4 linked regions of the Stegostoma tigrinum genome follow. The protein of the gene in region 1 purifies or fractionates together with the protein of each later gene. This does not show direct contact. Links are inferred from orthologs where the notes say so. Each region holds a gene or a part of one and is shown in the gene's direction. Other genes may lie near its edges. The genes, in order: snrnp70, snrpd1, snrpf and nuclear cap-binding protein subunit 1.

Region 1 (7,855 bases):
GACTTTCTGGTGGAAAAAACAGTAACGTAGCACCTTTTTTTAGTATAGTGATATGTCTTGAGGCACGATATAGGAACATGATTAGATGAAATATGGCATTGAATCATCTAGTACCGATTAAAGATAGGAGGAGAAATTTTAAGCAGAAAAGTTTGTCAGAAGTAGTGTGGTGGAGAGATTTAGGAAGGGAGTTCCAGAGCTACGTAGATGAAGGCATACTGCTACTAATGGAACAAAGTTAGAGATGCGTTGGAGGGGTGCAGAGATTTTGGAGCATTGCAGGGCTACAGGAGGAATTGAAAGATGAGGATAAGACTGTTTTACAATACAGTCGGAGGTTAGTGGTCTTGTGGTGCAGCGGTAGTGTCCTTATCTTTTGAGCCAAAAATGTCCAAGTTGAAAGTCCCACCTGTCCCAGATGTGTAATATAGCCTGTCTAAAGAGGTTGCTTAAAATACATATCGTTACAGGTGAGAGGATAATTAGACAGGTGCCCCTGAGATTGCATTTTTAAGTCATAAATGCAGTCTTTATATTTGTGTATACTATAGTATTTTGGTTTTATAATTATATAGCAAAGAGCACAGTAAGTTGAGACGTGGAGTTAGTTGGATCACAGGAACTTCGCAAACAACCAAACTAAACAGATGTGAAGGTGAAGCAGTTGGTGCCATCGCTAGAGGAAGAGGGAAATTACAGTGTCAGAAGAACTCTGAAGATTCATCTAGACTCAACTTTAGGTTACCTTCCCTCCGTGGATGCTGCCTGAGCTGCTGCAATTTGCAGCATTTTTTGTTTTCAGCAAGTTATGGTGTGACTTGTTTACATAGGATGTTTTTATTTCAAATGAGGATGTGGAGATTATTAATGGAGATGATGATAATTATGATAACAGAATAAGGTTTAATGTGCAAAATGGGATGCAATGTTTCAATCAGATATTCATAGGTCATAGCTCCAAATCTTCCATACACTATATTAATGGATTCAATGGAAACCTTGCAGAACAGCCATACTAAAGGTCATTGTGATATTGGAGACATGTGCCAGTAGGAATTCACATGTACTAACACATGTTACAAAGCCTGAAGAAATGTGCAGTTGTACCAGTTAGAATTTTGTTAAACTCATGCTGGGTGGTTTCTTAAACGGGACAGGATGAGGCTTAACTTTGTATTTACAAAGTCCACAAAGGAGAGAAAGACTAATTGGCTTAAAAAAATTGCTAATGCATAAACACTAGATTGATCCTGAGTATGGAAGGACCCTTTTCTGAGGAGAGGTACTGTACTTTATTGGAGTTTAGAAAAATGAGAAATGATCATATTGAAACATACAAGCTCCATGGAGGAGCAGACAGGATAGATGCTGCAAGTTTGTTTTCTGCCCCCCGCCCTTGTGGGAAAGTCTAGGATTTGAGACAGAGGTGAGGAATAATTTCTTCTCTTGAAAGATAGTTTCTTCTGTGGAACCCCTTATCGCAGAAGACTATAGAGGATAGGTTGTTCAGTATCTTCAAGGTTGAGGTGGACACATTTAATTGGTAAGGGAATCAAACTTCATGTGGAAAGGTCAGGAAAGAGGACTTGATATTATCAGAACATGTGATCTTACTGGAAGGAACAGACTCAATTGGCTGAATAGCCTACTTCTGCTCCCAGCAACTTTGAGTGAACTATAACACTTCAGTATTTTAGGTTTTATTTCCAAATTTTGTTATGCTCAATGAAGTGATATGCCCCAGTCTGAGTTTGATCTTCCTAATGCATAGGGAGCCACAGCAACCATGGGCAGAGGTGCATGTTGTACAAGGGACACTAGGTGATGTTGCAGTGCTGCTCTTCACTAGGCATAAACAAGATCAGAATTAAAGAGAGACAGGGAAAACACAAGTACAGCCCTGGTCTAGCTGTGTGAATGTTAGAGACATGCAAATAAATGCTTGAAGTAGGCCAACTAGCATTCGAACAGTAGAATTCACAAGAGATAATGGGAACTGCAGATGCTGGAGAATCCAAGAGAATAAAGTGTGAAGCTGGATGAACACAGCAGGCCAAGCAGCATCTCAGAAGCACAAAAGCTGACGTTTCGTAAGGGTCTAGGCCCAAAACATCAGCTTTTGTGCTCCTGAGATGCTGCTTGGCCTGCTGTGTTCATCCCAGCTCTACACCTTATTATCTAGAATTCACAAGAGTTTTCTCCCTGGGCATAAAATGAGGAGCATAGGTAGGGAAGATAGGCAGAATTTTTCCCCCTTGAAGGGAGCAATGACCAGGAGGCTTGGATTTAAGATAAGAGGCAAGAAGTTTGGAGGGGATGTGAGGGAAAATCTTTCTCGTTCAGAAGATGTTGGAAACCTGGAATTCACTACCTGTAAGGATAATACAGGCAGAAACTTTTGTTAACATTTAAAAAGCATTTAGCTGTGCACTTATATGCTTTGGTATTACAAGACGACAGGCCAAGTACTGGAAAATGGGATTAGAAGAGTTTAGGTGGGGCTTTTGACTTGTGCAGATGCAAAGGGCTAAAGGGTCTTTTTCTGTCCTATCAATCTCAATGGCATTAAACAGATTCAAAGATAATGGGAACTGCAGATGCTGGAGAATCCAAGATAATAAAGTGTGAAGCTGGATGAACACAGCAGGCCAAGCAGCATCTCAGGAGCACAAAAGCTGACGTTTCGGGCCTAGACCCTTCATCAATGAGACTTAAAGGTTTTGGGTAGTTTCATCCTTTGCAGAGATTCGATCAATAGTTTGTGCCCAACCGAGTCGAACGCTTTCGCTAGATCGACAAAGACAACTGCGAGGTCCTTACGATTGTGCTTTGCTCCCTTGATGATGTTTTCGAGGACAACAATGTTTTCATTGCATCCAGGAGTGGCTGCTAGAAACCCTTTTTGCCTGGGGTTTATTTCGACTGTTTCACTCGGGCGTTTTGCCATTATTTTCGTGAACAGCCGGAGCAGTATTGGACCGATGGTTATTGGTCGCCAGTTATCAATGCTTTTCAAGCATTCCTTATCCTCGCACTTAGGAATCAGGACCATTCGACTCTTTTTTAGTGAATCGGGGATCATGCTTGACTTTAGCCATAAGGAGAAGAGGCGGGGTAGATGAGTTTCCTCCTGCTCATGGAGTCTTCTTATGTCTTGCAGTTTCAGGCCATCTGGTCCAGCGGCACTGTTCTCGTCTATCCCCTTGATGGCCGCTTCAACTTCCTCTACCTCTATGGGTTTCATCAAGGACCCGTCATCGACTTTGCCAGTGTATGGGGCATACTTATTTATGTTCGATTTCTTGTTTGGTGCAGACAGTTTCTCACGGAAACATGTCTCCAAATCCTCTTTTGAGAGAGGACAAGCGGATGAGGTTGGCGCCCCCATGATCTCACGAGCTAGTTGACGCCGGTTGGTTTTGTAAAGCCGCTGTGTTGCTCTAAACAGCGCTTTTCGTGCTGCCCACCGTTTTCTGGCTCCGGTATTGCTACCGGGCTTTTTGTCTTTCTTGGCCTGATCTTTTTGAGGCCTCTTGTTTTTGTTCTGTCTTTTCCTGCTATTCATTAGTAGGTCGGTAATACTTTCCACTAGTCCAATTCCGAGGGCAAGCGTGTCCGGGTCGTTCCTTGCGCTCAAGAGCTCCTCAGCTTGTGTAAGCTGGTCATCTACGTCCCGATGTTTAGGGATCGAAGCCGGTGTTTTTCGGCTGGCTCTATGAAGGGTCTAGGCCCGAAACATCAGCTTTTGTGCTCCTGAGATGCTGCTTGGCCTGCTGTGTTCATCCAGCTTCACACTTTATTATCTTAAACAGATTCAAGCCTGTTTTTCCCCCTCTCTAGTAGAGTATTTAGCCTTTACATGCAATAAAGTGTTTATATGCAAGCCCAAGTCTGAAGACAGTTTATGACCTTGCCTTCTCAGTCCCTCATGAGCCACAACTCACGTTTGAGTTCAAAACCACATAACAAAACTGTCCTAATATAAAAATTTAAATGCTACAAACATCTTGCACAGGTCATGCAGAGTAATATAACCGATCATTCCAGATGTTAGGAGACCCTTCACCAGCACTGACATTGAGGGGATACTGTCCCTTTAACTGCAGGAGAGCCGGGCAAAGGGTGGGGTGGGGAAAATGGCTGTCACTCAATCTATCCACCCAATTGACATGGTATAGTAAAGATGACAGGCCTTTGTACCAATAGAGGTGTGGCATATGGGCGGGAGCACTGTCCACCCATGTCCTAGCCAATCGGCGTGCGGAAGAGGGGTGGGGCCTAGCGAAACAGCAGCCATTCTAGGGAGGGTAGAGGCGGGTCCTCCTCGGCGCGTGATCCCGCCCACCGCCCTGGAGTGATCGTTATTTTGAAATAAAGGGTAGGTGGTGTTCTGCCACCATGTAAATAGTGCCTAAGGGAGAATGGAGAAAAACAGAGTAAGGTAAAGTCTTATTGAGAGAGAAATGGACTAAGGTATAAAATCACATTGAGTAGCATTATTATCAATGGTTGGAATTGTATTTTACGATGCATTTTCCAAAGCAGGGGACGCCCAATGATACGGAGGGAATGTGAAGAGGCACGGCGGCCATTTTGTGTTTTCCTCGCTGTCGGCGCGCGTGAGGCCTGGTGGCGTTGTTTAAGCTAGTTAGAGTAACAAGTTAGCGAGTTATTCCCCCCTCCCTCCTCAACCTCACAGGCCGAGTAACCCAGAGGGGGAGAGAGAGGGGACAGCGGGGTTTTGATCCCGGCTCCCGCCATGACTCAGTTCCTGCCGCCGAACCTGCTGGCGCTGTTCGCGCCGCGGGACCCGGTGCCGTACCTGCCGCCGCTGGAGAAGCTGCCGCATGAGAAACACCACAACCAGCCGTACTCAGGCATCGCCGGCTTCGTCCGGGAGTTCGAGGTCAGCGCCGCAGCTGTGGGGGAGGGAATAAACCTGGGGTGACGGACAGGGGTTAAAGGGCCCGGGGGGGTGGGGGGGCCTGGAGAGTGGTGCTGATAGAGTTACTGGGGAAGGGGAACTGGGGAGCTGGTAGTGATGGAGTGACTGGAGAGAGGAGGGATCTTGGGGTGACGGGGGAGGGTGCTGACTGGGCAAGGGGAATGGTGGGGAGGGGTGTGACTGCATGGGGACTGGCAGAGGAGAGGGTGCTGGGGGAGGGTGGGAACTGAAGGGAGGGGGAGCCCGTATGGGGAGAGTTGGGATAAAGAGTCGTAACAGGGTGGAGAGAAAGAGAAGTGGTAATCAGGAAAGGCAACTAAAACGGGTGGTTGATACAGTTGAGCAGTGGGTGAAGGGGGGGAGAAAGGAGTAACAGACAGATGTGGAGTTGGGGGAAAGGAAAGACAGTGGGGTAATTGGGAGGCTAAATTGGTTAAGGAGTGGTCATGTGGGGAAAACTGCAGAGGGGGGAGTGGAGGGTAGGGGATTGATCTGGGGGTGGGTGCAAGAATAGGGTATTGGGTGGGGGGAATGGTGAGGAGGTGTTTGGAGGCTGGTGGGGAAGAGGGGTGGATGGAGAATGTGAGATGGGGGAAATGGGCTGGTGAGAATTGTCAGAGGGGATGGGGAAGGTGGGAATTCATGATAGGGAACTAATAAGGACTGAGGGAGGAGGAAAGGAATTGAGCAGATGATTCAAAATGGGGAATGAGCTATGTAGAGTAGGGAAGTGTGAGTAAAGAGCAAGAGCTGTGTTGATATGAAAGATATTGTGTAGGAGGGAACAGTAGTGGAGAAGGTAGCCAGATATGTAAAGGAGGGGTCTTGTGGTAGTGTGAGGAGAAGGGTATTAAAGGTCTGTTTGGGCCAGTGGATAAGGATGTTAATGACTGGTCAAGTGTAATTGAGGTGAGTGGGGCCTTTTGGAACAAGGCAAGTTCTGGGAGAATGAGAAGTTTGGCTTGTGTCCAGTTAGGGGCGTGTATTGAGAATTGGTATTGACGGTGACATAGTTTTGGGATATGGGTTAAGACCTGGTGGATGGGCAGAAGATGAAGTGGACCACAGTACATGTTGTACAATCATGTTGTGGGGTTTGGAGGCGCAACGGTTGTATTTATGGAGTTTATGCTTGTGACTGTTTTTCAGAGAAACTTAACGCTCAACCTTGATTTAGCCCTTTAATCCGTATATACTCCCATTTCTTCCTTTTCACTGTTCATTCTTATTCTTCAGAGTCAGTCTGTTAAGAATCTGGTTTTCTTGAATTTTCTGTTAGCTTTTCCATTCTGTTATGTTCTTTCACTTTCGGATTTATGTCTGGTATCGTCCTGTTCCTGTCTCATTATTACAGTTGCACATGTTCATTCATTATGTTCTGAAACCTAAATTCCTTGTTACCAAGAAACCAGATATTGACATCTTGATCAAAATCAAAATCCTGCAGGTGCTTGGAATTTGAAATAAGGTCTGTCGGCATCTCTTATGGGAAGAATCTTTCATACTGTTGATATATTTAATATTGTTTGAATACTTTTATACCCATAATTCAATTCCACATGAAGGTTGCACCTGAAAGAAGCTTATGCTTGCATCTGAACAGCCGTTTTTCAGTGCATTCATACCACATTTTCAAGCATAACTGGCCTCTATCCAGGAAAAGTGATGATCAAGGAGCCACTTGGAATTGCTAGAATGGAATATAGCAAGTGTAACTTCTGAATTTTTGATCACAGCTTCTTTTTCTGCTATGTAGGATCCTAGAGATGCCCCGCCACCAACAAGAGCTGAGACACGGGAGGAGCGAATGGAAAGAAAGGTAAGAAATTTAGGCCAAATGTACATCCTAGGGTTAAATGTGTTAGGAAAGGCTAGACATTAGAAAATACCTGGAATTATTTGAAGGTCTCCGCGACTATTTTCTGTAGGTTTGTGGACCCACATTCCTTTCAGCTGTTTGTTGATCTGGCCATCATTTCTGTGGGTGCTTGCGTGACCTGTAAGTGTATTCAGTCCATTTGATTTTATTACAGGGTCTTCATCAAGCCTGATTATGTTCCTAAGAATTGTGTACACATCTGCTTATCAGCAGTAGTCTCTATAGACTTCTGCCTCCTGTTACTTGTTTCTACCAATGAAACCACCTAAATTGTTAGAAAGTAGGCATTCAGCTTTTTATGCCTTTTCCACCAGTTATTTCCCTCAACAACACTTTTTTTGCCTGCTGAAATATTCAGTGACTTCCCTTGGTAGGCAAGAATCTCTCTTTAAAAAGTATTCAATGACTCCTCATCTACCGTTCTGAGGAAAAGAGTTCCACTGACTTGCGACGCTTCAGGAGGAGAAAAGATTCTCATCTTTATTGTAAGTTGGAGACCTCTTCCCTTTAAACTGGCCCTAAATCACTTTGTCACAGGCATTCAACCTTTCAGAGTCCATCCTGAAAAACATCTGGGGAGGTGATGGCCTAGTGATATTATTACTAGACTATTGATCCAGAAACCCAGCTAATGTTCTGGGGGACCCGGGTTTGAATCCCACCAAGGCAACCTGGCTGATTACCGTCCCACCGGTCTACTCTCAGATATCAATAAAGTGATGGAAAGTGTTATCAACAGTACTATGAAGCAGCACCTGCTCAGTGATGTCCAGTTTGGGTTCTGTCAGGGCCACTCAGCTCCTGATTTCATTACAGCCTTGGTTCAAACATGGAGAAAAGAACTGCATTCCAGAGGTGACAATGACGGCCCTTGACATCAAAGCTGCATCCAAATGAGTGTGGCATCAAGGAGCCCTAGCAAAACTGGAATCGTTGCGTATTGGGGGCAAACTTTCCAGTGTTTGGAGTCATACTTGACACATAGGAAGATGGTCATGGCTGTTGGAGGTCAGTCATCTCAATCCAGGACA
Region 2 (8,143 bases), on another chromosome or scaffold:
GTAAAAAAGATATTTTGTTTCCACTAGTTGATCTGTTAGTAACTAGGGGGGTAACAATTTCAAGATTTGTCAGCAAGAGAACTAGGAGTGAGGTGAGGAGAAACTTCTCTACCAAGAGAGTTGTTAGGATTCGGAATGTACCGCTAGGGAGAGTGGTGGAGGTGGATGCCGTAGGAGGTTTCAAAAAAGAGGGCTGGATTTATGTTAATATATAGGGGTAGAGAATGAGACAAACTAGGTAACTCTTTCAAGTGCTGATCCAGACACAATGGACAAACGGCCTCCTTCTGTACTATAAATTCTATAATGACCATCCTTTTATAGTTTGAACTTATCTGTGGATGTATAATAGGTGACACTTGGACCGAGACTTTGGCCTATGTGCTGTTCTGGGGGAGTGCGAGCTTTGGGACTGCTGCCATCATTCTCTTCAATGGCAAGGAGTTCGTTGATGCACCAAAGCTGGTTCAGAAAGAAAAGATGGACTGAATTTGTACCTGTGGAAAGCAGCTTGGCAACCAAGATTCTGTGCAAATGTGGAGGATCTTCTGACCTGCTTTCCACATCCAGACACTGTGCTGTTGTCTTTTTAAAACAATCAATTTCTAACAGTGAAACTAATGGTTGTGATCTGCAGTTGGAGTTGGATCATTCAGCCTTAGCTTTAACAAACATTTCTCTTCCTTGGTAATTTTGGATGATTTTTGGAACAACACTAGTGAAATAAAAAGGATTAGAAACATCTCCTGCTCATGTGATCTTCCTATTTGATGACCAACAACAAATGTACAAACAATCTCTGGGATGGGGAGGGCAGGGGTGGGGGCTTTTCACATACGGTAATGGTTCAAATCCAGCAAGCCTATTACTATTCCAGTCAGCTTGTCTGCGTGTGTATATATAATTATATATAGATATCATGAAATAGTAACAGAGCAGTAACATATCTGTGGAATGAGTTATTATTTCCAGATTTTAAGCTGTTAAGTTCAAAGTTTTGTAGAGAAGTTTGGAAATCAACTTGCTGCATGCCCTCAGTCCTTTCAGTCCGGTGTTTAAACCTGAAACCGCTTTGACATCTGTCTGCATCCTAATAACTCCTGGGGTAAGGGAGCTTTGATGTACATGCAAAACTGTACAGCGAGTTTTAGACAAACCTGGAATTTGTATTATGTTACAGAATTAACTGTATATTTTGATTTTCCTGAGTTGTGCATTATTTTCATTTAATGACAGTGTAATGATATACTTGAAGTCCTGTTCTTTTTCTAATTTTTACATTTGCTTGTGCAGCTCTTCCATTTGAAGTATTATACTTGGGTGTTATCAAACTGTTAAAATACTCAGTGGAATTGTTTTCTGGCTTTTGTTGCTTTTGGGAAACAATGTACTCTAATTCACCCTATATTCCCCTGAATAGTGCCTAGTTTATCCATTCATATTTTTTAATACCTTGAAATATCACTTTAAATTGTCCAAATGGGGATGAATGCTACCGTCTGTTTCATTATTAGAGACATACAAATTGGGATTAAAACTAGAGCAGAGCAATGAATTTGCAAAATGCCTTTAAATTGTCACGCAATCACTGATACAGAGGGCAATTCAATCAGTGTATTTTGCAGATTGAGATCAAGAATTGTCTTTCAGAATTGGAACTACAGTAGCTGTCATAAGAGATTAGTTCAGGTATTTACAAACGGGACTGGGCTGGGAGCAGCTTCTATTTATACAAGTGAAACTGTTGTCAGTTTTCCAACTATATCCATTCCATTGCCCTATTCTGTATTATGTTCCTCCTCTTTTGGAGTAATAAATAAAATGATATACAAATAAAGATTTTTATTGTTTATTTCTTCATAATATTAACTTGAATTCAGCGTGCTACATTTGGACAGTAAAGAGACTTGGTGTAATGTTCAGTTCTCTTGTTTATTTGCAGTTCTTTCTTTAAAATCTGTCATTCTATGTCCTGTATATTTTAAAAATCTTAATTTCAGAATAGCCAGCTAAATGCTGTTTTGGCAGCATCTGACAGGACAGCAATAGATTTAGCATTTTGAGTCGAAGAGCCTCAGTCAGAAGTCCTAATTCATTGAACTGAAACAACATTACTATATTGTAAAAAATAATTTATGGAGAAGTTCAGCAACATCTGTGGAGAGAGAAAAATAGCTCATATTTCTGTTTTTCTCACTTATCTTTCAGTTCTTCCAGCAGGTGCTGGAAATCTGAAATACTTCATTTTGTGTTACTAATGAGTTGCTGCAACCTGGGGGATCTGCCACCTGCATTCCGCTGTTGACTCTACAACTATGTGGTTTAAATTCCTGTATGAATTGCTCTCACTTGAAGCAGAGTATAACTTCTGTAATGAGCTGCACTTCTCAGTTTTCCTGATCAGCACTGTGCTAGCTGCTGTGGTGAAGTACTTTTGATGGGCTGCATTTTAAATTACTGTCCAACATTAGGCAGAATGTGATGTCTTATCCCATGTACTGTGAATGAAACAGAGCATAGCCTCCTAAAAGGTTAGGTGTATCTACATAGCTTCCCAGGGAACATTTCAGATTAAGAACCCACACTATTGTTACACCAGTTTTTTCACTGAATCACTACAGTGTGGAAGCAGCCCATTTGACCCATCGAGTCCATACCAACATGGTGGCACACTGCTTTCACTGCCTGTACAGGAAGAAAATTCCAAAGCTTCACAATCCCTTGTGGGAAAGAAAATCTCAATTTCTGTTTTAAATGGGGAAACCCCTTATTTTTAACCTATGACCCCAGTTCTAGATTCTCCCACAAGAGGGAATGTTCATCCGTATCTGCCCGGTCAAGTCCCCCACTTGTATACTACACTCATGTCACAAAGAGAAATGAGAGTAAAATGTAATAAGTTTTGTCATTACATAGGAAACTTCTGAAAGAAAGTCTTTGAGTTGATAGAGAATGTTTTGGCTTGAAACTGTGTGGCTTGGAATTGAAGTTGCAGGTGAAGTTGTTCCCATGTATCAGTTGCCCTTGTCCTTCTAAAAACCAAAAGAACTGCGGATGCTGTAAATCAGGAACAAAAACAAAGATTTTGAAAAAACTCAGCAGGTCTGGCAGCATCTGTGAAGGAGAAAACAGAGCGAAGGGTCAATGGATCCGAAACGTTAACTCTGTTTGCTCCTTCACAGATGCTGCCAGACCTGCTGAGCTTTTCCAGCAACTTTTTGTTTTTGCCCTTGTCTTTCTATTGGATGAGAGTTTGGAAGGTGGTCTCTGGGGATCTTTGGCTTTTTTTTTGCAGCACATCTTGTTGGCCCACTTGGAATTGGGAATCAAGTTCTATTGTCAAATGAACTCTACTAGAGGGATACATTACAGTGAAAAGTGTACAAAGTCGCCATTTTCATCTTAGATGCAAAAGTGCCGAGATACAAGTTAGAATAAAAAAGAAATAAAGTTAAAGTTCAGCATTACAGACTTTCTAAAGCGGGGAAAGAGAGCAAAAAAAAACACAAGTCTGTGCTGGGTTCACCCTGATGCTGGTGGCGCTCGAGCGAACACTGTGACAACTCGCCAGCTCTCCGGGGTGGGAGATAAATAGAAAGAGGGAAAAGAAAGCATGAAAAGAATAAAACAGACTTGGTGGACGAGCTCTGGTCTGCCAAAGTCTTGGAAAGTGCTAGCCAAGGAAACCTTGTTGATCTCTTTTTTTTGTTGCCCATCTTGCAGGCCAAATGTAAAGCATGTATCAGCAAACATGACTCGGTGCAAGTACAAAGAAGAAAGGAAATTACAGCACATTCGGCCCTCCCAGCCTGCGCCGATTGCGATCCTCTGTCTAAACCTGTCATCTGTTTTCTAAGGCTCTGTATCCCTTTGCTCTCTGCCCCTCCATCTACCTATCCAGATACATCTTAAAAGACACTTATCATGTCTGTGTCTACCACCTCCGCTGGCAACGTGTTCCAGGCACCCACCACCCTCTGTGTAAAGAACTTTCCACGCATATCTCCCTTAAACTTTCCTCCTCTCACTTTGAACTCATGACCCCTAGTAATTGAGTCCCCCACTTTGGGGGGGAAAAAAGCTTCTTGCTGTCCACCGAATCAATACCTTATGATTTTGTAGACCTCAATCTGGTGCTGTTTTGACTATATTGGAATTGAGAAAATTGTTTGAAAGGGAATATTTGAAAACTGCACTGTTGCAAAAGGGCATTGGAAATGACAAGTTCACATTCAGTGGAAGGTCTATGATGCTCAGGACCAAAGCTTCTTATCCAAAGATGTCAAAAGTAAAGAAAGGCTGAAAATGACTACTCTTGATTTTGTTTTCAAAGAATGGAAGCTATTTAAAATAAAAATACTTTACACTGCTTATAGAAACATAGCCTACTCCTGTGATTATAAAGTGTGAAGCTGGATGAACACAGCAGGCTAAGCAGCATCTCTGCCTGCTGTGTTCATCCAGCTTTGCACTTTATTATCTTGGATTCTCCAGCATCTGCAGTTCCCATTATCTCCTCTACTCCTGTGATTGATTGTTTTCTATTTGCCCCTTTGAGCCTGCACTGCTATTCAATATGACCACGCCATCTCAGTATCCCACTCTGGCTTTCTCTCCATACCCCTTGATCCCTTTAACTGCAAGGGCCACGTCCACCTCCCTCGTGAATATATCTAATGAACTGACCCCGACAGCTTCCTGTGGGAGAGAATTACACACGTTCACAACTTTGAGTGAAGAAATTCTTCCTCATCTCATTCCTGACTGGCTTACCCCTTACTCTTAGACTGTGAACCCTGATTCTGAACTCCTCCCCAACGTCAGGAATAATCATCCTGCATCTAGCCTGTCCAGTACCAGCAGGATTTTGTGTTTCTATGAAATGCCCCCATTCTTCTGAATTCCAGCGAGTGAAGGAGGGAGACTCTGTGCTGTAAAGTCTGGTCTGATTTTTCTGGGCGGGGAGTTATTTCCATATTTTATTAAAGGGGGCAGTAGGGAGCACCTGCAAACGCCGTTCTTCATTATCTGGCTTTCTGCGCATGCACCGTCACATCGTCCAGCATTCCGCGCATGCTCAATTGGAAACGGCCGACTCGGCGCCCAATTAGAGGAAACGGCTGCCGGCGCACTGCGCACGCTCAGTAGTAGGAGCCGGCTGCCGGCCTTCCGCGCATGCTTATTGCAGGGCCGGTTGTGGCGCCTCCATTCCGCGGCCCCGGGAACAATCTGCCTCCATCATGAAGTTGGTCCGGTAAGAGGAGGCATCGGAGGCCGGGGATGGGTGGACCTGGGCCTATACCTACCGAAACGGAGGGTATGGGGAGGGGAACGGAATGGGAGAGACTCGGTGCGAAGGAGATGATGGAGAAGTCGCGGCCCAGCTCAGGCCTGGGGCCTAGTCAGGCTGCACCGGCCGGGGTGAGGCTGCGGGAGATCTGGCCGCAGGCACGGGGCCAGCCCGGGGCTTCGAGGCCTAGGATCCTGGAGAGGTGGTGGGTGAGGCTACAGTCTCTGCCCTCTCCTAGGATTTACAGTGTGGAAGGAGCTGCTGCTGTTCTGATTGAGCACCTTGATCATGGATCAGACTCACTCAGCTCTCCCTTTGTCTGTAATCCAGTTTAAAAAGCATTTAAAAATGGACAGCGCTTTCATTCTTAAACTAATCTCTCTGATTTGACAAAGTCCCACTGTTTGATTTGAGAGTGCATCACTTCCCCACCCCCCCACTTCCCTTCCCCATTCCCATTGCTGTACATCCAAAGGGTTCAGTGTCTCCCACACAATAACCATTCTACCCTCTTTCCTCTCAGACAACACTCGTGGTTAGCCAGAATTGTCTGTGGTCTCACTCACCCACAGTTGGACAGTTGCTCAGTGAGGACAGAGATAATGGGAACTGCAGATGCTGGAGAATCTGAGATAACAAAGTGTGGGGCTGGATGAACACAGCAGGCCAAGCAGCATCTTAGGAGCACAAAAGCTGATGTTTCGGGCCTAGACCCTTCATCAGAGAGGGTGGTGGGGAGAGGGTTCTGGAATAAATAGGGAGAGAAGGGGAGGCAGACTGAAGATGGATAGAGGAGAAGATAGGTGCAGACGAGAGCATTTGTGCTCCTAAGATGCTGCTTGGCCTGCTGTGTTCATCCAGCCCCACACTTTGTTAGCTCAGTGAGACTGTTGGCCTTTTCCTCCACACATGCGCCCAGTCTTGCACCTGCCCTTCCTGACGATGCCCGTGACAGGGCGAGTGGTCAGCCAGAGATGCCTGTTTCGACTTCCGAGCATACAGTAGTCACCGTGACAACGCTGCCTCCCTAACTTCAGTGGTGCCAAATGGATGGTCAGCAAGCACTGCCCATCACACATTCTTCACTGTCTGTGTCTGGTTGGCTACAACTCCTGGATGAATTGTGATTTTGAAAGGATTGTGAAGTCTGCCAATGCTGATTCTGTCCCGGACCCCTGTCTTAGAGTTATACATTACAGAAACAGACCCTTCGGCCCAACCTGTCTATTCTGACCAGAATCCCAAACTAAACTAGTCCCGCCTGCCTGTGCTTGGCCCATATCCCTCCAAACATTTCTTATTCATGTGCTTATCTAAATGTCTTTTAAATGTTGCTTCTGTACTCACATCCATCACTCCCACTGTCTTTTTTAAATCACTCTCCCATCGCCTTAAAAATGTGCCCCTAGCCTTGAAATCTCTCACCCAGCGAAAAGACACATGTCATTCACGTTAGTTATACCCTTCATTATTTTATGAACCTCTGTAAGGTCACCTCTTAATCTCTTATTTTCCGGTGGAAAATATCCTAGCCTATCAACCTCTCCTTATAATTCAAGCTCTCCATTTCTAGCAATATCCTGGTAAATCTCTTCTGAAGTTTCTCCAGGTTAATAATATCCTTCTCATAACAGGGAAACCAGAACTGTTCACAGTATTCCAGAAGCGACCTCACCAATGTCCTCTGCAATCTCAGTGTAACATCACAAATTCATTCTCAAAGACTTGAGCAATGAAGACAAGCTTGTTAGATGCCTTCTTAACCACTGTATCTATTTGTGATGCAAACTTCAAAGAATTATGTACCTGAATCCCTAGGTGTTTCTGTTCTACAACACTGTCCAAGGTCCTACTTTGAATTATATAAGTCTTTGCATTTGTTTCTTTTATCAGACTGCAGTGCCTCATGTTTTTCCAAATTAAACTCCATCTGCCACTCTTCAGCCCGTTGACCCAACTGATCATCTTTGTAACCTTAGATAACCTCCTTCCCTGTCCACTATACCACCAATCTTGGTGTCATCCACAAACTTACTAACCATGTTTTCTACATTCTCATCTAAATCATTCATATAAATGACAGACAAAAATGGACCCAGGACCAATCCTTGTGAAGCACTGGTCACAGGCCTCCAGTCCAAGAAACAACCTTCCACCATCATACTCTGCCTATGCAGTTAAGCCAACCTTGCATCCGTTTGACAAGTTCACCCTGAATCCCATGTGATCAAACTTTACTAATTAGTCTACAGTATGGAACCTTTTCAAAGGCTTTACTAAAACCTGCCTCTCATTCCTCAGGTTGTTTCTCTAGTACGGAACAAGGAACTGCAGTGTATTGTACTGGGTTGATGTAGTTTTGGTTCTCAGATTCTAAATCTTCAGTCTTGATGTTATTGTGATGTGGTGTTCCTTCTCTCTTTATCCATACGTTGTAAGTAATGAATTTTGTGATCTGCGCTGATATGGGGGTTAATGTGCTGATGTGCACCAGCAGCAGAAACAAAGAACCTACATAAATTTAGATCTTTAACTGGTTGACATTGACATGGAGGAATAAAGAATATTCACCCCCCCGACCCACCACCCAAGTAATGTGCAAGTCCACAAATTAGCAGATCTGTTGAATTCTATTTTGCATACAAGTGGTAGAATTTGAATTTTAATTTCTTGCATTTTAATCATCCGATACAAGGAAAGTTGAATTGCCATAATGACGCAAGAGACGGCAAGGATCTTTAAATTCATTGGACGGGGTGGTGGAATAATGGAAATATCACTGGACTAGTAATCCAGAACCTCAAGCTGACGTTCTGAGGATGTGGGTTCGAATACCATCGTTGTAAATGGTAC
Region 3 (7,345 bases), on another chromosome or scaffold:
GTGCCCTAGCGAAGCTGTTCCAAACACTAGCTTCTACACAGCAATGCAGAAAATTGTCTAGGTACATCCTGCTAACAAAAAGCAAGACAATTCCAACCCAGTCAGTTACCATCCTTTCAGTTTACTCTTGATCATCAGCATATTGGAATGGGTCATTGATGGGGCTATCAGGTGATACTTAGGAATAACCTTCTCACTAATGTTTAAATTCAGGTTCTGGTAGGGCAATTTAGCTCTCGATCTCATTACAGCCCGGGTTCAAATATAGACAAGGGAGTTGAACTCCAGAGAGGAGAGATTGCCCTTGACATCAAGAATTTGGCTCTTTGGTCCATGCTTGGAACAGCGCCATACTGTAAAGAGGTTTGGAGCTGAATGGCCATGGAGGAACCCAAACTGAAAATCAGTAAGAAGGTTGATGCTTGATGGATGTGTAGTCTCTTCTACTCCTCATTGGTATGGTGGTGGTGGGAGAAATGGTGCAGGGGAGAGCCAAGATGACATGGTGAAGGGAGGAAGAATGGCAGAAGGTATGTATGGAGGGGTGATGACATGGGGAAGAGAGGCACAGGAATGGAGGGAGACAAAAAGAACCTCTCGAAACTTCTAGAGAACCAAGGGATTATAAGGAATTGAAAGAAATTAGGATCACTAAGAAAATAATAGTGGAGAAATTAGTGGTACAGAAAGGTGATAAAGTGTTGAAAGAGGTGGCTGTAGAGATAATGGGTGCATCAGTGGTCATCTTTCAAACATCTATCGATTCTGGAATGGTTCCTGCAGATTGGAAAATAACAAATGTAACCCTGCTAGTTATTACAGACCTGTTGGGCTGATATCAGTAATAAAGAAAATGTTAGAATCTATAATAAAGGATATGATGACTGGGCACAGAGAACATAATGATAGAATTTGATAGAGTCAGCATGGTTTTATGAAAAGTAAAACATATTTGGCAAACCTGTTGGTGTACTTTAGAGATGTAAACAACAGAATAAAAAAGGGGCAATTAGCAGATATGGTATATTTGCATTATCAAAAGGCATTCAATAAGGTTCCAACAAGACCTTAGTGAACAAAATAGATCACTATGGGTTGTGGATAACGCACTGACATGGATTGAGGATTGACTAAAGGACAAAAAACAAACTTTGGGAAGAACTGGATTGTTTTCAGGTTGGCAAGCTTGCTGTCTGTGGAGAACATACTTGTTCTTTGAAAAGCTTCCTTGATTCACCCCCCAACCTTGTAAAGCTTATTGCAGCAATAGATGGCCAAAACTAAGGAGAGGTTTATCCCTAAAATATAATTCTTGGTGAATGGGTACAGCTCACTTCCAGCAGCTCTTCTCTTTGTTCTACGTTTCAATAGACAATGCCTAGAAAATGTTGAAAATGGATCCAAAATGCTATTGTACTTGTCTGTGTTTATACCTTCAAGGTAAACATTGAAATGTTACAACAATTTGTATTCCAGTAAAACATTTAATCCAATGAAATATACGAAGGTGTTTCATGGAAGTACTACGAAACAAAATATGACACTAAAGTGCAAGGTATTAAGGCAAATGATCAAAAACCTCATCTAAGAGGGAGGTTTCAAGGAAGTTCTTAAAGGAAGTAAGTGAGGCAGAGAGATATAAGGAGAGATTTCCAAAGTTTGGGGCCAAGGCACCTGAAGGCACAGCCTTCCAAGGTGAAGTGTTAAACTCAGTGGTAACACAGTGAGTTGTAAATCTGATGACATTACAGAGATGTATTTGAAAAGAACAAGAATTGAAAATCAAAAGTCTTTAGTCAACCCGCAGCTGATGTAGACCAGAGATTACTGGAGTGATGAGTAAATGGGATTTTGTGCAAGTTAGGACATGGGCAGCAGTGATCAATGCAAATTATCAAAGGGAAGAATATCAGAGGCAAGCAATGAGTGCACTGGAATAGTCAGGTCTTGAGGTAATAAAGGCATGCATAGGGTTTCAGCAGCAGAAGAGCTGAAAGGGACAAAGTTGGTCATTGCTAAATGTAATAAATGGTCTTAGTGATGGTATAAATATGGGAAGGTCATTTTTGTATCAAGTATGACACCAAAGTTGAGAACAGATTAGCTTCATCTCAGCTTGTTGCCAGTAAGTCAAGGGCAGCTTCCGATACCAAGCCCTGGTATCGGAAGCTGCCCTTGACTTACTGTGCCAGGACCTCCTGAGCGAAGGCTAACCCATTTGACTTGACTGAGGACTGCTGACAACTACGTCAAGTTCCTGGGTTTGTTTTTTCACTAAATGGCATGGCAAGAAAGCAGTAATATAAGCCTCGTAGTGCTGGCTGAGAGGGCAAAGGACAAAAGTTTGATTTGAGTTCATGAGCTGAGTGTGTATCCCTGAGTGCACAGACACCTTACTGCAGCATTACTATGACAGTTGCCAGTGCAGCCCGAGGTTCACACAGGAAAGGATATTTTAGTTTTGCTGAAGCAGAATCCAATGCCCAGAGACAGGCTGAACACAAATGGTTCACCAAACTATCATCTTATAAGTGAGAAGGCTGACACTATACTGTTCTTTCCTAGTAAAAGATCTAGAATTCTTCAATCTCGCACACTATTCTTGATTCTACTGTCTGTCACTTGGCAATTTTGGTGACCACCTGTGTTTCTATTTGTATTCCTTCACTCCAATGTCTTCCCTGTGCTGTTCATGTGATGGCAAGACACTGCCCATTCCAGCATCCAACTAGGGTGGCCAAATATTCTAGTGTGGCAGGGAAATTGTGAGTTTAAACATTACCTGGTATCCTGATAATTTCCTAAAAATAGTTCAAATGTCCATGCTTTCACCAATTCCTTTTTTGTTAAACACAAACTGGGCCTGGCGGGAAGAAACCGTGAGTCAGATTTAGGCCTTCTTTTCTGAATGCACTCATCACGTGGCATTGCATGCATTGGACCTATATCTGATCCCTCCCGGTACCACTTCCCTCTTGGCATCTCCAAGACAGTTGTCATGAGCTTCTTGACACCAATGTCTCTTCTGCTGGTAATAGCCTATAAAATATCTAATGAAAGGTGTTGCAAACTGTTTGGATGTCCAAAGTGTCTGATACAGTGATGTCCCCACCCCTGGTCTAGAAGATCTGTATTCAAGTCCCACCTCAAGGTTTGAAGGTCATGGGGTTGTGTCACAACATAACGAAACAGCCTGCTTAAAACAAAACACAGCTCTGGTTGGAGATATTGGGGCGGGGGGGGGGGATGTCATCACATGTCCTCTCACTTTCAACACCAGGCACTGTTCACCCCCAACATGTTGATCATCACGGTGCCTGAATCTTGCATGACCTTCCAATGAGTTGATTGGAAGAAACTGTTCTGTAAAAGGTTTGAAACACACCAGTCACATACTAGACGTACTCATCTTTTTTACATCAACATGGAGAGATCAGTCTGTTCATTTCCAAGTATTATTGATTTCTTAATTTAACAGACTCTTCTCTCTGGGAGATTTGAAGTGCTTTGCAAAAGAGGCAAGTGTGATGTAAGAAATAAAAACTTTTCGCACAGCAAGTAGTTTGGTTCTGGAAATACACTATCAGCAAGTACGCGAGAGGCAGGTTCGACTGAGGCAATGAAAGAGGACATTATTAAAATCGAAAGAACGGGCAGGAGACAAGTCATGGTAACAAAGTGTGAAGCTGGATGAACACAGCAGGCCAAGCAGCATCTCAGGAGACAAGTCATGATGCTCAGGGAGCCAACGCAGGCATGATGGGCTGAATGGTCTCCCTCCACTGTTCTCTGATTCAACGATCCTTGGTTCACTCAGGCTTTTGAAAATCTGGCCACCCGACCCCCAAACCCACCCCTGACCGCTGCCCATTGGCTTCGTCTCGCCCCTGAACAGGGCTCACCCTTTCATCTCTGTCTGTGCCGTCCTCCTGGAGATTTTACTGCAAACACCAATACTGACTGTCAAGACGCACCAGAACCTGGCTCCCACCCCAGACCTGTTGTTGTTATTAATCGTGTCAAATGTCTCTGTGGTACCTGCTGTAAAAGATCCTTGGCCATTACTCCACGGGGCTCAGCTGCACAACTCTGAAGGTTCGCTTACGGCCTTTCGCCGCCGAGCTGTCGGTCTCCGTGGTAACCGCCACCCAATATGGCGGCGGGAGGGTGAGAGGTGAAGGGTTACGGTTCCCAGCAGGCCCTGCTCCCAGCCTTTGGCGCTCCTCCCCGCGTGTGTCGGTCTCTGACACAAAGTTCGTCCCGTTCCGGAGCAGCCGTCATTCCGTGTCCGTGTCCGAGCCGAGCCGTCCCGTTCAGACCATCCCACTTCCTTCCGACTGTCCCACAGGCGCCGGCATGGTGAGGGAACCTGCCGCGTACACGCACAGCCCGGGGTGGCGGAGGCTGGGAGCGCTTGCGGCCTGGTCCGTGAGGCTGCACCGGCACTGAAGTTAAACCCTCCCCCCGAGCCCGCATCGCGAAACCGTCCCGGGGGCCGGGGGGGGGGGGAGGGTGGTGCGTGGGTATTGATCTGTAACTTCCCTCCCTCATCGGAAAGGTGTGTTCGGGTGGGGGTGGGGGTGCGGTCTGTTTCCCCGACCTCCCCCCACCCCCACCCCCACCCCCACCCCCACCCCCACCCCCCCTCTTCCCCCACCCCCCCTCTTCCCCCACCCCCCCTCTTCCCCCACCCCCCCTCTTCCCCCACCCCCCCTCTTCCCCCACCCCCCCTCTTCCCCCACCCCCCCTCTTCCCCCTCCCCCCCTCTTCCCCCTCCCCCCCTCTTCCCCCTCCCCCCCTCTTCCCCTTCCCCCCCGACACCCCCCTCTTCCCCCCCCCTCTTCCCCCCCCCCCTTCCCCCCCCCTCTTCCCCCCCCCCTCTTCCCCCCCCCCCTCTTCCCCCCCCCCCTCTTCCCCCCCCCCTCTTCCCCCCCCCCCCTTCCCCCCCCCCCCTTCCCCCCCCCCTCTTCCCCCCCCCTTCCCCCCCCCTTCCCCCCCCCCCCTTCCCCCCCCCCCTTCCCCCCCCCTTCCCCCCCCCCTTCCCCCCCCTTCCCCCCCCCCCCTTCCCCCCCCCCTCTTCCCCCCCCTCTTCCCCCCCCCCCTCTTCCCCCCCCCTCTTCCCCCCCCCTCTTCCCCCCCCCTCTTCCCCCCCCCCTCTTCCCCCCCCCCTCTTCTTCCCCCCCCCCTCTTCTTCCCCCCCCCTCTTCTTCCCCCCCCCTCTTCTTCCCCCCCCCCTCTTCTTCCCCCCCCCTCTTCTTCCCCCCCCCCCTTCTTCCCCCCCCTCTTCTCCCCCCCCCCTCTTCTCCCCCCCCCCTCTTCTCCCCCCCCCCTCTTCTCCCCCCCCCCTCTTCTCCCCCCCCCCTCTTCTCCCCCCCCCCTCTTCTCCCCCCCCCTCTTCTCCCCCCCCCCTCTTCTCCCCCCCCCCTCTTCTCCCCCCCCCCTCTTCTCCCCCCCCCCTCTTCTCCCCCCCCCCTCTTCTTCCCCCCCCCCTCTTCTTCCCCCCCCCTCTTCTTCCCCCCCCCCTCTTCTTCCCCCCCCCTCTTCTTCCCCCCCCCCTCTTCTTCCCCCCCCCCTCTTCTTCCCCCCCCCTCTTCTTCCCCCCCCTCTTCTTCCCCCCCCTCTTCTTCCCCCCCCTCTTCTTCCCCCCCCTCTTCTTCCCCCCCCCTCTTCCCCCCCCCCCTCTTCCCCCCCCCCCTCTTCCCCCCCCCTCTTCCCCCCCCCCTTCCCCCCCCCTCTTCCCCCCCCCCTCTTTCCCCACCCCGACACCCCCCTCTTTCCCCACCCCGACACCCCCCTCTTTCCCCACCCCGACACCCCCCTCTTTCCCCCCCCCCGACACCCCCCTCTTTCCCCACCCCGACACCCCCCTCTTTCCCCACCCCGACACCCCCCTCTTTCCCCCCCCCGACACCCCCCTCTTTCCCCCCCCCGACACCCCCCTCTTTCCCCCCCCCGACACCCCCCTCTTTCCCCCCCCCCCGACACCCCCCTCTTTCCCCCCCCCCGACACCCCCCTCTTTCCCCCCCCCCGACACCCCCCTCTTTCCCCCCCCCGACACCCCCCTCTTTCCCCCCCCCCCGACACCCCCCTCTTTCCCCCCCCCCCGACACCCCCCTCTTTCCCCCCCCCCCGACACCCCCCTCTTTCCCCCACACCGACACCCCCCTCTTTCCCCCCCCCCGACACCCCCCTCTTTCCCCCCGACCACCCCTCTTTCCCCCCGACCACCCCTCTCCCCACCCCGACCACCCCTCTCCCCACCCCGACCACCCTTCTCCCCCCCCCCCACCCCGACCACCCCTCTTCTCCCCCCCCCCACCCCGACCACCCCTCTCCCCCCACCCCGACCTCCCCTCTCCCCCCCACCCCGACCTCCCCTCTCCCCCCACCCCGACCTCCCCTCTCCCCCCACCCCGACCACCCCTCTCCCCCCACCCCGACCACCCCTCTCCCCCCACCCCGACCACCCCTCTCCCCCCACCCCGACCACCCCTCTCCCCCCACCCCGACCTCCCCTCTCCCCCCACCCCGACCACCCCTCTCCCCACCCCGACCACCCCTCTCCCCACCCCGACCACCCCTCTCCCCACCCCGACCACCCCTCTCCCCACCCCGACCACCCCTCTCCCCACCCCGACCACCCCCCCCCCCACCCCGACCACCCCCCCCCCCCACCCCGACCACCCTTCTCCCCCCCCCCCCCCACCCCGACCACCCTTCTCCCCCCCCCCCCCCACCCCGACCACCCTTCTCCCCCCCCCCCACCCCGACCACCCTTCTCCCCCCCCCCACCCCGACCACCCTTCTCCCCCCCCCCCACCCCGACCACCCTTCTCCCCCCACCCCGACCACCCCTCTCCCCCCCCCCCGACCACCCCTCTCCCCCCCCCCGACCACCCCTCTCCCCCCCCCCACCCCGACCACCCCTCTCCCCCCCCCCACCCCGACCACCCCTCTCCCCCCCCCCACCCCGACCACCCCTCTCCCCCCCACCCCGACCACCCCTCTCCCCCCCCCCACCCCGACCACCCTTCTCCCCCCCCCACCCCGACCACCCTTCTCCCCCCACCCCGACCACCCCTCTCACCCTTCTCCCCCCACCCCGACCACCCCTCTCCCCCCCCCCACCCCGACCACCCCTCTCCCCCCCCCACCCCGACCACCCCTCTTTCCCCCCCCCCCACCCCGACCACCCCTCTTTCCCCCCCCCCCACCCCGACCACCCCTCTTTCCCCACCCCGACCACCCCTCTTTCCCCCCCCCCCCCACCCCGACCACCCCTCTTTCCCCCCCCCCCACCCCGACCACCCCTCTTCCCCCCCCCCCACCCCGACCACCCCTCTT
Region 4 (7,591 bases), on another chromosome or scaffold:
GGTTAGTTGTTGTACTTTGATTATGCGTGTTAAGATCCTAATCAAAGACAAACCCCAGTCCGAGCGATTAAAACAAAACTACCTATTTATCAAGATTAAGGGGTCATGTTAGGTTCGTTTCACAGAGACCCTCACGGACTTGATGCAAGAGCAAGACACTGACCTGGTTACAAAAACACAATCCTTTATTATTAAGCAAGTACAAGCTGCGGAGGATCCCTATACGCAACGTATCACAGAGTGCTGAATATCGTGAGCGATTGTCCCCGCTTTTATACCCTTGAAATTGGCGGATACATAAAACAATGACTACGTCTGAAACATCATGAGTATGTGGTCATGGCGCTACAACGAGAACATGACACAGCTTTGATCGTCACAAGGTATATGATAACGACAGGATGCGATTTTAAGTGGTGACAACTGCCTGGCTTGACCAAAGGTCACTGACCTGGCCATTTTAGGAGAAACAAAGGTAGGCCGCAGTGTGGGTAGAGCCATAAAGATTGCAGAGCTTAATGCTTTTAGTGTTTACAAATGTTTCACACTCCAGCCTATTCAGGCAGGAAGGTGAGACAGTGTTCACATACCCCTGTATGAAGAAATAAGGAGCATAAAAATTCATGGGATGTTAATCCATTAACATCTCACTTGGTTGCTGATTGGACAGCTAGCTTGCACGGCCCAGTGACACCAACAGCTTGGGTTTCAATTCCCAAACTGAAGTTAGCATAAAGGTCCTTCTTTTCAACTTTATCCAACCTGGAACTCAAAAGGACCAAAGCGAAAATTCACACAATTAGATGAACAATTCAGCCTATCGAGCAAGTTCTGCCATTCAATGTGATCACACTGATCTTATCACAGCCTCAACTCTGCTTTCCTGTCTGCTCCCCATAATTCTTCAACACATTACTAATTAAAAATCTGCCTATTCCATCCTCAAATTTACTTAATGTCCCGTTATCCACTGTACTCTGGGGTAGCAATTTCCAGATTTGCAATCCTTTGAGAGAAGTAATTTCACACCTGTTGTAAATCTGCAACCCCTTATCCGAAAGCATTGACTTCTCATTTCAGAATACCCCACAAGATACGTCCTCCCTACATCTAATTTGAGGTATATAAGTCGCTAAAGAAAATTGACAAACAGATCTTCTCTCATTCTTCTAAATGCAAGACAGAATAGACCTAAACTCCTCAACCTCTCAAGACAAATCCCTCATCTCTGGAATCAATCTAGTGAAACTTCTCCCAACTGTGTCCAGTGAATTATATCATTCCTCAAGTAAGGGAACCAAAACTGTATGCAATACTCTGGGTCAGAATCACTAATGCTTTGTACAGTTGCAGCAACACTTCCCTACTTTTACAGCTATTCCTTTAGCATTAAATGACAAAATTCCATCTGCCTCCCTTATTACCTGATAAAGCTGCATATTAACTTTCTATCAGTCACGCACAAGGACACCCAGATCCCACTGTGCCAAATCAGTGAGTTTTTTTTTCCATTTTGATAACAAATTGCTTTTCTATTCTTCCAAACAAAAGGGAGAACCTTACACTTATCCATGTTAAATGCCATCTACCTAATTTTGGCTCATTCACCTAATCTATCCACATCCATTTGTAAGTTTCTGTTATTTCTTCACTGTAATTACTTGCTGATCTACATTAGTGTCATCTGACAATTTGGCTATTGCACCTTTATCCCTGCATCTGTCACTAATATACATTGTAAATAGCTGGGGCCCAGGGGCCAAACTCTATGGCACCCCATTTGTTAATCTTGCCAGCCAGAAAAAGACCAATTTATCCTGACTCTCTACTTTCTGTTGGTTAGCCAATCCTCTACTGAAGTTAATAAATTACCCCAACCCCACATGATCATACATTGTATATTAACTTTTTGTGCAATACCTAATTAATGCCTTCTGGAAGTCCAAATATACAATTACAGGTTTCCCCATTATCCACTTATTTGTTAAAATTCTTCAAAGATGTAACAAGCTGAGTTAAACATAATCTACCCTTCATAAAACCATGCTGAGTCAGATTTTCTTCAAAACAGTTTTAACATAAGCAATTCATTTAAACAGAGTGAGATCACCATCTAATATCAATTTATCACCATTGTTGTGGGAAGGAATCTGATTAAAACTCAGAAGGCCCAAACTTTACAGAAAACTTTAAAGCAACTGGAAGAAACAGACTTAATTTTCTCTGTAAAGGATAGGTTTAGCTTGGGTAAAAATGAATGTCAATATGCTAAATATAGTCTGCCAGTCCATTAAGTTATTTATACTTTTATCTGGATATTTCATCTTCATAAGTTAAATCTTGTTTAAAATGGTTACTACAGCAATTGGGTGTAAATCCATCTACAGCGGTGCATTTTTAATATTCATTCAGATTCCATGTGAGTGAGGAAAGCAGAGCGCATATTTATTTATATTCTTGCTCATGTTGAAATGTGGAAAGCCAGAATTGGTTGTACCTAGATTTATCAATTATACCATAAAGACTGGGCAATTAATACTCATTTAATTTAACAATTCTGAGGGGCACTATTTAAACTTGGCAATGCTGATAAACAAATGTGTAACTTCAATGCTTAAAGGCTCTCAAGTGTAATACATAGAAAGCTTCCAGTACAGGGAATTGCCAACCCAATTTGAGAAATGATTTTAAAGCATCATGAAGATCTAATTAATCTTTTCCAAATTATGAGGATAATTTTAAGTGATACAAAGTATTTTTAAAAAAATAAATAATTAACCGACATTACTGTTGTTTCAAATTTAAAAACATAGGCTTTTTCAAACAACAAAGCCTGAAAGTGCAAAGGTATAACTAAAGAGTTGAATGCTTTCATAATTCAGTATAACTTACAAAAAACTCTTACGAAGTTCTTGCCACTTTAGTTCATCAAAATTTGTGTGACTTGCATCAGGCAATCACTTGGATTATGTCAAATTCTTTTTCAGTTCCACTGTGCTGTGGTGATATAACATAGTGATCTGAAGAATCAGATACTCATCAACTTGTTATTTTGGGCAAACATCTTCAGTGTGTTGTAAAAGCTCAGGCATGTGTTTATTGGCCACATGCTTGGGAATATCCTCCTCTTTGTCAAACTGCTGTCCACAACACTCCCAATGAACACTTGGCCTATCAAATTCTCATGTTGCAGAGCTGCCAACTTTAGGTATTTGTCTTGATTTGATAAAGAAAGCGAATGCCTATAAAATGGGTATATATGCAAATTAAAGTACAATACAGGAAGGAAAACTATAGGGGATACATTTGATAGCTTATCTTAAATACTTAGCAGAAAGCAACATGCAACTCTTTGTTGATTATTGCAGATTGTGGATCATTTGGCCCACAAATCTGGTACACAATACAGTCAGTATTCCTCACCAATAGCAAGTTGCCATTTTAATTATATGTCTCAAAAATCATGAATTTTTGAAATAATTTGCTTTCAGTTCTTTTTATGCTCAGGATCAAGCATGCATCATTGAATATTACTAGATCAGTGCAAATTACTTTTATGCAACATTATAAATATCAGGGTTCAAGCAGAATTCTGCATGATAGAAAACATTCTAGAAAAGGGTTACAACTAAAAAGACCAAAGGCAAAACGTCAGTTTTTGCAAGTGAAACAGCTTCATGTTTTCACCAGGATATAAAACAATGCAAGTGATACTTGTCACTATGGTCTAATCCTTATCATCAAGTGTTGCTGCTATTTGTACCCGAGGTGTCCCCGGCCCATAAAACAATCCAATAGCTCATAGCTGCAAAATGTACTTGGTCTGCCAAATGACAAAATTTGTCTTGACCCATGCAGGTTCACATCCTATCCTTGACTCAACCCCTCAGACCCTCCCCTCCAAGCTCGCAGCCTGCTCCGGATCCCCACTCCACTCCACTGCGGGCTCCCACTATCTCCACTTGACCCTCCCTTCAAGCTCAGTCCCTGTCCCTGTCCCTGTCCCTGACCGACCCCCCCCGCGGGCTCTCACCCTGTCCCTGACCGCCCTCCGGCGCTCGAGGCACGGCCTCAGGACGCTGGGTGCGCGCCCCGCTGCTCTCCAGCTCGTGCCGCCTCTCAACGTCCGGCCGGGGGAGCGAGCCTGGACCGGGGGGGGGGGCAGCCCGAGCTCGGGGCTCCAGGGACCGAGGGAGACGAGCGGCCCGCCACCTCCAGCCGGAACCACTTGGCCAGCACGCACGCGAGGATTTACCCCGGAAGTGCATGTGCAGTGTGCCCGCCATAATCGGGGGGAGGGGGGGAGGGGGCCGGGGGGTGTGTGGTGGTGCTGGTGGAAGCTTTTCCGTGGAAGTTGTGAACGACCCGAGAAAGAGGGGGGTGGGGGAGGAGTGCTTGGTACCACCGGTGGACCGGCTGCACGTTCTCAGCGAGCAACTATCTTGTTCCCGGGCTGCTGCTAGCATCGGCCCCGGGCAGAGATGTCGAGAAGGCGGCACAGTGACGACAATGACGGTGGGTAGAAACGGCGCCGGTGCACGATGCGAGCGCCGCACTTGGTCCGTCACCGTCCCGAGCGCCTCCCGGTTCGTTATTCCCTCCTTTGGCTCCTGAGAGCGGCCTTTTTCACCCGCGAGCCGTGTCCAGTGCCAGCTGTCGTCATCGCTAGATATCCCTTTATTCTGCGGCTCTCCCTCCTCAGCTTCCCTCAGTCCCCGTGGCCCCGGCCTCAGCCCCAGGCCGATCCCTCAGCCCCCGTGGCCCCGGCCTCAGCCCCAGGCCGATCCTTCAGTCCCCGTGGCCCCAGCCTCAGCCCCTGGCCGATCCCTCAGCCCCCGTGGCCCGGGCCTCAGCCCCTGGCCGATCCTTCAGCCCCCGTGGCCCGGGCCTCAGCCCCTGGCCGATCCTTCAGCCCCCGTGGCCCGGGCCTCAGCCCCTGGCCGATCCTTCAGCCCCCGTGGCCCGGGCCTCAGCCCCTGGCCGATCCTTCAGCCCCCGTGGCCCGGGCCTCAGCCTCTGGCCGATCCTTCAGCCCCCGTGGCCCGGGCCTCAGCCTCTGGCCGATCCCTCAGTCCCCGTGGCCCCGGCCCCGGCCCCGGCCCCTGGCCGATCCCTCAGTCCCCGCGGCCCCGGGACTGACCCCGCGGCCCCGGCATCGACCCCGGGACTGACCCCGCGGCCCCGGCATCGGCCCCGGGACTGACCCCGCGGCCCCGGGACTGACCCCGCGGCCCCGGCATCGGCCCCGGGACTGACCCCGCGGCCCCGGGACTGACCCCGCGGCCCCGGCACCGGCCCCGGGACTGGCCCCACGGTGCCCGCGGCCCCGGCACCGGCCCCGGGACTGGCCCCACGGTGCCCGCGGCCCCGGCACCGGCCCCGGGACTGGCCCCACGGTGCCCGCGGCCCCGGCACCGGCCCCGGGACTGGCCCCACGGTGCCCGCGGCCCCGGCACCGGCCCCGGGACTGGCCCCACGGTGCCCGCGGCCCCGGGACTGGCCCCACGGTGGCCGCGGCCCCGGCATCGGCCCCGGGACTGACCCCACGGCCCCGGGACTGACCCCGCGGCCCCGGGACTGACCCCGCGGCCCCGGCATCGGCCCCGGGACTGACCCCGCGGCCCCGGGACTGACCCCGCGGCCCCGGCATCGGCCCCGGGACTGGCCCCACGGTGCCCGCGGCACCGGCCCCGGGACTGGCCCCACGGTGCCCGCGGCCCCGGCACCGGCCCCGGGACTGGCCCCACGGTGCCCGCGGCCCCGGCACCGGCCCCGGGACTGGCCCCACGGTGCCCGCGGCCCCGGCACCGGCCCCGGGACTGGCCCCACGGTGCCCGCGGCCCCGGCACCGGCCCCGGGACTGGCCCCACGGTGGCCGCGGCCCCGGCACCGGCCCCGGGACTGGCCCCACGGTGCCCGCGGCCCCGGGACTGACCCCACGGTCCCCGCGGCCCCGGCACCGGCCCCGGGCCTGGCCCCACGGTCCCCGCGGCCCCGGCACCGGCCCCGGGCCTGGCCCCACGGTGCCCGCGGCCCCGGCACCGGCCCCGGGCCTGGCCCCACGGTGCCCGCGGCCCCGGGCCTGGCCCCACGGTGCCCGCGGCCCCGGGCCTGGCCCCACGGTGCCCGCGGCCCCGGGCCTGGCCCCACGGTGCCCGCGGCCCCGGGCCTGGCCCCACGGTGCCCGCGGCCCCGGGCCTGGCCCCACGGTGCCCGCGGCCCCGGGCCTGGCCCCACGGTGCCCGCGGCCCCGGGCCTGGCCCCACGGTGCCCGCGGCCCCGGGCCTGGCCCCACGGTGCCCGCGGCCCCGGGCCTGGCCCCACGGTGCCCGCGGCCCCGGGCCTGGCCCCACGGTGCCCGCGGCCCCGGGCCTGGCCCCACGGTGCCCGCGGCCCCGGGCCTGGCCCCACGGTGCCCGCGGCCCCGGGACTGGCCCCACGGTGCCCGCGGCCCCGGGACTGGCCCCACGGTGCCCGCGGCCCCGGGTCTGGCCCCACGGTGCCCGCGGCCCCGGGACTGGCCCCACGGTGCCCGCGGTCCCTGCACCGGCCCCGGGACTGGCCCCACGGTGCCCGCGGTCCCTGCACCGGCCCCGGGACCGGCCCCACGGTGCCCGCGGCCCCGGGACCGACCCCACGGTGCCCGCGGCCCCGGGACCGACCCCACGGTGCCCGCGGCCCCGGGACCGACCCCACGGTGCCCGCGGCCCCGGGACCGACCCCACGGTGCCCGCGGCCCCGGGACCGACCCCACGGTGCCCGCGGCCCCGGGACCGACCCCACGGTGCCCGCGGCCCCGGGACCGACCCCACGGTGCCCGCGGCCCCGGGACCGACCCCACGGTCCCCGCGGCCCCGGCACCGGCCCCACGGTCCCCGCGGCCCCGGCACTGACCCCGGCACTGATCCCACAGTCCCCGCGGCCCCGGTATCGACGCCAGGCTGGCCCCACCCCCACTATAGTCCTAGTCTCAACGCCGGGCTGAACCCACAATCCCTGTGGTCTCGGTATCAATGCCACACTGATCCTGCAGTCCCAAACACCTGGTCTGAACCCCAGGACTGATCCCACAGTCCCTGCGGTCCCGGTGTCAATCCCAGAATTGGCCCCACCATCCCTGCGGTCCCGGTATCAATCCCAGAATTGGTCCCACCGACCCTGCGGTCCCGGTATCAATCCCAGAATTGGTCCCACCAACCCTGCTGTCCCGGTATCAATCCCAGAACTGATGCCAATGGCTCTATACAAAAAAACTGCTGATGCCGGAAATCTGGAACAGAAATTGCTGGAACTCCGCAGGTTTGACAGCTTCTGTGGCGAGAGAAACAGAGTTAATGTTTTGGGTCCAGATACAATTTTAATGCAATAAGGAGGATTGATGAAGATAGCACAGTGAATGTTGTCCACATGGATTTTATTGACGATTTTAACACGGTCCCACATGTAATTTAAAAATGCATGGCATCAAAGCTAAAGTAGCAAGTTGTACCCAAAATTGTCTCTGAGGCAGGGAGCGGGAGGTTAATTTTGATAGGTACCTTTGTAGCAGGAAGGCTGTTCACATGTTATTTCACTGGGTTCTATTTTGAGT

Evidence for each region.
Region 2: the proteins of snrnp70 (region 1) and snrpd1 purify together in Homo sapiens (affinity purification with mass spectrometry; 6 studies listed by BioGRID and IntAct, counting the BioPlex papers as one, with this or other methods). This does not show direct contact. The link is inferred for Stegostoma tigrinum from reciprocal best matches to the Homo sapiens genes SNRNP70 and SNRPD1.
Region 3: the proteins of snrnp70 (region 1) and snrpf purify together in Homo sapiens (affinity purification with mass spectrometry; 5 studies listed by BioGRID and IntAct, counting the BioPlex papers as one, with this or other methods). This does not show direct contact. The link is inferred for Stegostoma tigrinum from reciprocal best matches to the Homo sapiens genes SNRNP70 and SNRPF.
Region 4: the proteins of snrnp70 (region 1) and nuclear cap-binding protein subunit 1 purify together in Homo sapiens (affinity purification with mass spectrometry; 3 studies listed by BioGRID and IntAct, counting the BioPlex papers as one, with this or other methods). This does not show direct contact. The link is inferred for Stegostoma tigrinum from reciprocal best matches to the Homo sapiens genes SNRNP70 and NCBP1.

The regions. Positions count from the first base shown.
Region 1 is NC_081391.1:18,615,309-18,623,163, reverse strand, and holds the start of snrnp70 (U1 small nuclear ribonucleoprotein 70 kDa), read left to right. Parts: upstream 1-4,578; 5' UTR 4,579-4,759; coding exon 4,760-4,906; intron 4,907-6,701; coding exon 6,702-6,764; intron 6,765-7,855. UniProt on the Homo sapiens protein: Component of the spliceosomal U1 snRNP, which is essential for recognition of the pre-mRNA 5' splice-site and the subsequent assembly of the spliceosome. SNRNP70 binds to the loop I region of U1-snRNA.
Region 2 is NC_081355.1:7,631,903-7,640,045, reverse strand, and holds the start of snrpd1 (small nuclear ribonucleoprotein Sm D1), read left to right. Parts: upstream 1-5,119; 5' UTR 5,120-5,240; coding exon 5,241-5,254; intron 5,255-8,143. Other genes in the region: phosphatidylinositol-3-phosphatase SAC1-like, read left to right, coding at 353-489. UniProt on the Homo sapiens protein: Plays a role in pre-mRNA splicing as a core component of the spliceosomal U1, U2, U4 and U5 small nuclear ribonucleoproteins (snRNPs), the building blocks of the spliceosome.
Region 3 is NC_081378.1:51,001,524-51,008,868, forward strand, and holds the start of snrpf (small nuclear ribonucleoprotein F), read left to right. Parts: upstream 1-4,134; 5' UTR 4,135-4,356; coding exon 4,357-4,359; intron 4,360-7,345. UniProt on the Homo sapiens protein: Plays a role in pre-mRNA splicing as a core component of the spliceosomal U1, U2, U4 and U5 small nuclear ribonucleoproteins (snRNPs), the building blocks of the spliceosome.
Region 4 is NC_081356.1:11,121,393-11,128,983, forward strand, and holds the start of nuclear cap-binding protein subunit 1, read left to right. Parts: upstream 1-4,330; 5' UTR 4,331-4,481; coding exon 4,482-4,515; intron 4,516-7,591. UniProt on the Homo sapiens protein: Component of the cap-binding complex (CBC), which binds cotranscriptionally to the 5'-cap of pre-mRNAs and is involved in various processes such as pre-mRNA splicing, translation regulation, nonsense-mediated mRNA decay, RNA-mediated gene silencing (RNAi) by microRNAs (miRNAs) and mRNA export.